Linked DNA regions of Arabidopsis thaliana. The protein of the gene in region 2 interacts with the protein of the main gene of each other region in a pairwise test. Each region holds a gene or a part of one and is shown on either strand. Other genes may lie near its edges.

Region 1 (3,760 bases), 4.9 Mb from region 2:
TACTAATTGAGGCTCATCTCTGCCAGAGTCTATGTAATTCCGACTTATCAGAATCACAAACTGGCCAATTAGAAAAGAAAAGAAAAAAAAAGAAGTGAACAATCATCAGATGGAATTGACTCATCAATTCTTCCCACACAGAATGTTTCTGCACAATAGAGAAGCCAATCTATAATCATTACACAAACAAACAAAACTGTATGAAGAAGCTAAAGGTTGCATAACCAAATTCTAGTATTACATAATTTCTTAGTTATATATTAAAAAGAGTGAAGATTATTGAACTTACGAGAGACATCCGCTGCGAGGCTTCTGCTTCTTCTTCTTCTCCTTTTGTTTCACTGCTGGTTTAATTACTACTTTAATAGCAGCATCAAATACGGCTTTCACATTCTGCAAAAGCCATGAACCAAAGAAAAGCATATAGTTTGCAAGTAAAGAGTCACCTAACACTAATGACTCCTAAGTTTCCAAACACACATGAACAAGTGTACCTGTTGAGTTTTTGAGCTACATTCAATGTAATAAGTCGCTCCGATATGCTTGCGGAGTTCCTCTCCCTGTAACACATGAATGATTAAATCATATAAAACCTAGAGAAGAGAGAGTCTAGAGAATGTCACAACAATCTTTTCGGTTTCTACAGGTTGAAAAAGCACACCTGTGATGTAGTTACCGGGGACAGTCCAGGATGATCAGACAAGTAATGTCTATCTTCACGAAGATCTAGATAACGGAACATTGTAAGAAACATTACATATATGTGATTCTCAAGCATTACACAAGGAAATATGTTGGCTCCACTCTTATAGCTATCTTACCCATTTTGGTACCAACAAGCACAATGGGGACTCCTGGTGCAAAGTGTTGGAGTTCAGGGATCCACTGAACAAAATAAACGCTTCAAAAACATCAGAAATTCACATTTCATTCTTTGTTTTCCCAGTAAGAAATACAATGAATCCAATTTCCACAAACCTTTTTAAACACATTCTCATAGCTAGCTCGGCTGATCAATGAGAAAGCCAACACAAAAACATCTGCTCCTCTGTAACTTAAAGGCCTTAGTCTGTTATAGTCTTCTTGCCCTGCAAACATGAAAGGGTACTCATAATCATAAAACTCTTAACAGTCACTAATCTTCAACACTCCCTATAAAGTTCTCTATCTAAGAATCCCAAATCAAAAGCAAACTTGCTAGATGTTAGAAAGATTAGAACCACATAACATTAGTGAACTTGGTTATTCTGAGATATTCAAGAGAGGGATACAGAAATGTTACTTACCGGCAGTGTCCCAAAGGCCTAAGTTCACAGTGATGCCTTCAACCACAACATTAACACTAAAGTTGTCAAAAACTGTTGGTATGTAGTCCTGATACAATCCATCAAGCAAATCTTTAACTTCACGAGAACAACAAATGCGCAATAGAGTAAGAGGAAACACTGGTGAATCAAGAAAGCCACTAACTTTACAATGTAAGATTTTTCAGAATCTCCAAAAAAGGATTATTTTTGCACAATCCCTAAAAAAGGAGCTAACTTTGAAATACCATGCTAAAATTCTCGGTGAAAGAGTTGAAATTTGACAGACCCAGAAGTATATTCAACTAAAAGTGACGAAATTGGAGATGCCCGAAAGAACAATTTGATGAAAAATCAGCGAAACTGTGATTTACTTGATCAAATTTTAAACTTACAGTAGGGAATTTGTTGCTAGTGTAGCAGATGAGCATACAAGTTTTTCCAACGGCACCATCTCCAACAGTCACACATTTGATGAATTTTGAAGCACTCGAAGCCATTCTAACTCACCAAAAGCAAACAACTTTCAACGAAGAAACGCCCAAAAACCAGAGAGATTGTGAGAGAGATAATAGAGAGATAAATGAAGTGATTAACATGAGGAAGTGTGGTAATAAACTATATAAACCCCATATGATTAAAAAAACTAAACTCTCTTTTTTTTCACTTTTCTTTCAATATTTTCAAAGTTTCAATTTTGTATTTTTGTCTCTTTCGTTTTTTGGTTTGAAGACTGAAGAGAGGGAAAGAAGAGGGGCTCACATGATATATCCATCTAATCCACATGACTTTTCTAAATCGTTTCATATTTATCGCTTTTACAAATGTATTAGATTTTAACCCGTGGTATACCGCGAGACGATTAATTTTTTAAAGGTAATATATATTAAAACTTGCAAATTTTATTTTTATAAAATATTTATATTTTACGGTTTATAATTGTTATTAAGTAACGCTATGCCACGAATCTATAAGACAATTGTTAAAAAACTGAAGTTTTAACCCTTATTAAAACAGCATATTAATAATATTTTATAATTTTATAAATATTGATTCAAATACATCCACCATATAACCGAATTCCAAAATAAAACTCGTTCTGTAATTTCTTTACCCGTCCCGTGAGTTTTTTTTTAAGTCGTAATTTTTAAAATTTAAGAATTATTTATTATATATAAAAGTTTTGCAAATTGTATCATTCTCTAATACATTTATATTTTATAGTTTAATTTTATATATAGTAACATTATACATATCACATAACATTTTTGGTTTTATATAATATTTTCTAAATTAGGATAATTTGATATGTTTAATATTAGTGGTCTTAAAAAATAATAAATTAAAGATTTTACCCGTATTGAAACGGTGGATTAATTATATTTTACTTTTTTATTAATGTTGATTCAAAAACCCGTCCTTCTAAATCCGTCTTGCCAAAAAGCCATTTATTTTATTCATATTAATTTTATTTATGATATGACTCTGAATTCTAAACATTTTAGCTAATAACATAGGAGTGCACCATATTTATTTAATAGGGGAATGTACCATATGACCCGAATGCACTTTTATCCAAATCCACCAAAAAAATCTTGCAAAAATACTATAGAGATAAGAAACGATAGTCGGTTTTAATAGGTATAAGATTAGCAAATATATTAGTTAGCTTAAATTAGTTAAAGAATACAAATTAAAAAGGTATATTACACTTTATTCGAATATAATATCAAAACTTATATAACACAGAGATTTGATAAATTTTTAATTGTTGAATACTTTTTTTTTGTACAAATTTTTATGTGATTAAGATTTATTGATTTCGTATATAAAATATTAAATTGTTTTACGAACTTATTTGTTTATAATTTGGTAACAGAAAGATATTTGAATATTCGGTATATTTTGCTTTAGTTTAGAAAATCTTTGATGACCCGTCTTTAGATTCAACAAGCCCTATAATTAAGAAATGAATATTGTCGTTAAATGATTTTGGTAACCTTAATGATGTCATTAAAAGATTTTGTTTTTGATTAAATTTTTCTAATGGTATTGTCATGTAATTAATTACAAAAATTAAGGTTACATTTAAAATGTATTTCCCAAATAATATAGTAGGATTAAAAGGATACTAAAAGCTAATCACATGCTTAAGAAGCATTGATTATAGTACGTTATTTCTTTTTCTTTATCGGTTGATCCTTCTTATTTTGTTTAGCATTAAAAACTGTTATATTTTGCCATCATTTTTTTTGTAAGATTCTGGCATTACTCATTACCAATTAATTGTATAGATTATTTCAATAAAACAAATTTTACCTGGTTCTAGCTAGGAGAAATGAACATAACTTGGTTAAACACATATGTAGTTATAGAAGAGAGAAAGATATATATATATATAGGAATTAGGATTAACTCTGAATTGGGGACTTTTAAGTTTTGGAAAATAGCAACCA
Region 2 (3,760 bases):
ATTAGTTGAAGAACTTTAGAAAATCTCCTCATATTCTTAATGACTTGAGTCATCAATCTTCTCTCCATGATGTGATGTGACAATGCTTGAGAAAATTGCGGAAAGAAAACAATGAAACATATTTTTCACTCTGATTGTCACACACAAAATCAATATACAAACAACATTACAAGCCATTAAAGAGAACAGAGAAATTTGATTACACTTTACAGTTACGAAGTCTTGAAACTTTGATTCGCAAATTCAAGATTAGAAACATCCACAAGTTGCCTTTGGAACAATTCCAGTGGCTCTGTATTTAGCAGCCGTTTCTTCTGCTTTAAGAACGTCTTCTCCACGCTTAGCTTCAATCATTGCTCTTCTCTCTTCTGCTTCCTTGTGAATCGCTGCAACCTTATTCTTCATCCTCTCTGCATACTCTGCTTTCTTCTTCTCTAGTTGCTCCTGCATTGAGAAAAAACTCACAAATTAACACTTCACTTCTCAATCACATTAAAACCGTTTCACCTCTCTATTGCTAAGTTTATTATACCTCGATTTTCTTGAGTTGCGCTTCGACAGCTGCTTTCTTGCTGTTTTCCCAAGCATGAACATCTGCAATCTTCTTCTCAGCTCTGTTTCATGTCAATAGTCAGCAAAATCAGGCAAAGAACATAAAAAAGCCAAAACCTAAAACCAGTGACGATAAAATAAAATGTCTTACTTGTTCTCTGCTTTGCTCTTTTCGCTTTCTTCCCACGCTCTGACGAAAGACAATCTCTTTTCCTTTGACAAATCAGCTAGCTTAACATCTACAAACCAAACAATGGAACTCAGAAACTTTAACAAACATTACATCCAGAAAGAAGTCACACAATTTTGTTTAAGCTCACCTCTATCGAGCGATGCAGACGCAGGTTTCGCCGGTGCAGGCTCTTCTACAGGTTCTGTAAAAAAATTCATTCCGTTAAAATTTCAAACATAACCAGCAAAATTGCCACAGAAGAGAGTCACAAGCAAACACATACAAAACATATGCATGGTTATGAACATAAAGCTACAATTTTTGGGTGCTTAATGACCATATACATTGAATTATACATCACAACAAAACTAAATTTACCAATCTCGAGACTTTAAATCGAAACGAATTCGAATTTAACTGTGCACTCTAATCGTATTTCAATGACAAATTCTATCTCTGGAGCAACCCAATCCTAATAACCAATAAAACCTAATTTTTAAAATACAGAACCAAGTTAACCCCAAAACCAATATTTCCTCGTCAAAGCAGAAGATTATCAGAGAACAGAATCCATAATTACATGCGTTAAGAGAAATTAACTTACTCTCAACAACAGTAAGGGCTTTGGAGTCATCGAAAATTTGCTCCGGAGGTGGGTTTTGAATTTTCTCCTCTGCAACGTCTTTCGTGACATCAGCCGGAGTCGGAGCTGGAGCTGGAGCCGGAATCTCTGCCGGAGCTGGAGCCGGTGTATCTGCTGGAGCAGGAGTCGTAACCTTCGCCGGAGATTCTGATTCTAACGCTATCTTCTGTTCCTCCGCCATAGTCGCCGCCTCTCAGCCGAAGAAATAGAGAGGAAAAAAGAAAACCAAATTAAAAACGAAATATGAAAAATTGAAGATATTATTTCCAAGCAACAGAAAGATGTTTATACGTATTAGCCGCGTTTTTTTGGGGTTAAAAATACCTTATTTTATTATCCGTTGATATATAAAGGCATCAGATCCTACGGTTATAAATCCATTTGTTGTGTATCCACGTGAACTGCGATGCAGCCGAACACAAAAATTCAGCTTGCCGACAGACAGGTAATGCGGTTAAACATATGCCACGTAAGCAAATGTCAATTTGTTTTCATTAGTAAATTGTTTTTCTGTTTAAATAATAATATGTCGGACGAAAGCGTGACGTGGAGGAAGACACGCTGGAGACAGATAAGATACTGAGTTGTTGTGACCCCACGCACTCTATTGGCGCGTGGATATTATCCATGTTTGTAGGAGCGCGTGTATAAGACGTGCCGTATAAGATGGGCCTAATTTATTGGGCTCGATTCATATTCTTTATTTAGAGGTTTTTAGGAAAGATCCAAAAGCTATCTGACAGGATTTGTTTTCCAAAAAGACTAAACTGATCCAAACTACTCCGAGATTCGCTCCGTAAATACACATTTGTTTTCTATCATTCTATATGATGCGGAAGCGTTAGTACAACTGTACAGATATCATAGTTTAAGTTCCATTACTAAACTAAGTCACTACTCACTAGACATCAAGCATAGAAGTTAGTAACTTTTAATGAAGCTCTTTTGATTTTACAAAAAAATTAGGGGAGATGTTAACACTTAACACAACACCTACCTATAACCAACACTGATATGATATCTTCCAAAATCCAAACCATGGACGTAAACCGATCTTAACCAACTGTTTCCATCTGAATAGGGATGAAGGTAAAATTGTTATGTCTAAGTGGGAAAAGCATGACTTCAGAAAAGGCCTAATCACATTCACAGCGTCAGTTATTAATATATCGCATACCTTATAAAACTTTGATTTGTGTGTTTAACTAGTGTTTGCTATCTTTAAAGAAGTCAATAAAAACAATTTAAAATGGCTTATATGGACAAAGATAAGAGTTAGTGACTGGAATGTGCCTAATTATCAAGTGCATCTTACATTATTGATCTTGTTGTACTTACTAAAACTAAAAGTGCAATTTGGCACGTCCACTCTCGTAGTTGGAGGTAGTTAGAAAATATTGACTTCTTAGACCGTGCCATGTTAATACCATTTAATGTTACTGGAAACAAATACTAATAAATAATACGTCACTTAAAACAAAATGTCTATACAAATACTATTAACATAAAACAAAATCTCTAGACCTGTATTACATCACATGCATCTCTTACTTATAAACAATAAACTTCTTTATTGTATGTTTTAGGGAATAAATATATGAGTTTGATGTCATATCATGTTTTTTTTTTTGTTATCTTCATACTTTTGTGTTGCGTTTCTGTTGATTCTCCTTTTATGTATCCTCTCGGCTCTCTCGTTAATCTTTTATTACATAAACTCGTGCATCAACATAAACACAAAACAGAAGCATGAAGATGAATAACAACGACGGCCAACATAATAAAACGGTGACATTTCCTCGAAAAAGCATCGTGAAGGCTACTGTTTTCATCGTCGTTCTATTCATTTCAGCTGCTATCTTAGACTTACTGGGCTATCTCGATTTCGTGGGTTTTAATATCACCTTACATTCTTGGTTTATCTTTAATATAAATCGCAGTAGTTAACGTTAATCATAATCATAATTTGTCTTATTGTTTTGTTTTATAGAATGCTTTTGCAGGTTTAAAGCTAACAACAAAGACAAAAGAACCAAATCCTTACGGATGCGACTTCGTACAGAACCAATCAAGTCAAACTCCTATCTCACAAAACCGCAAATCGAGATTAAACCCCAACAACAGTTCAAAATCATCCACGTGTCCTTCTTATTTCCGTTGGATCCATGAAGATCTACGGCCATGGAAACAAACGGGGATAACTAGAGGGATGATCGAAGAAGCGAGTAGAACGGCGCATTTTAGATTGGTGATCCGTAACGGGAAGGCGTACGTTAAGAGATATAAGAAGTCAATACAAACAAGAGATGAATTTACTCTGTGGGGAATCTTACAGTTGTTACGGTGGTACCCTGGTAAATTACCTGATCTCGAGCTAATGTTCGACGCTGATG

Evidence for each region. Proteins that work in one complex are often made in the same cells at the same time.
Region 1: the proteins of AT3G61260 (region 2) and ROP10 interact in a protein complementation assay, tested with the Arabidopsis thaliana proteins (one large-scale study listed by BioGRID).

Annotation. Positions count from the first base shown.
Region 1 is NC_003074.8:17,729,605-17,733,364, reverse strand, and holds the start of ROP10 (RHO-related protein from plants 10), read right to left. Parts: upstream 2,029-3,760; 5' UTR 1,805-2,028; coding exon 1,700-1,804; intron 1,375-1,699; coding exon 1,287-1,374; intron 1,089-1,286; coding exon 979-1,088; intron 886-978; coding exon 822-885; intron 727-821; coding exon 662-726; intron 561-661; coding exon 495-560; coding exon of another isoform or gene 453-494; exon of another isoform or gene 394-452; coding exon 290-393; intron 149-289; coding exon 124-148; 3' UTR 1-123. UniProt on the Arabidopsis thaliana protein: Acts as a negative regulator of abscisic acid (ABA) responses.
Region 2 is NC_003074.8:22,675,154-22,678,913, forward strand, and holds the start of AT3G61260 (Remorin family protein), read right to left. Parts: upstream 1,699-3,760; 5' UTR 1,549-1,698; coding exon 1,329-1,548; intron 927-1,328; coding exon 873-926; intron 792-872; coding exon 704-791; intron 615-703; coding exon 533-614; intron 445-532; coding exon 250-444; 3' UTR 1-249. Other genes in the region: AT3G61270 (O-glucosyltransferase rumi-like protein (DUF821)), read left to right, coding at 3,117-3,254, 3,358-3,760.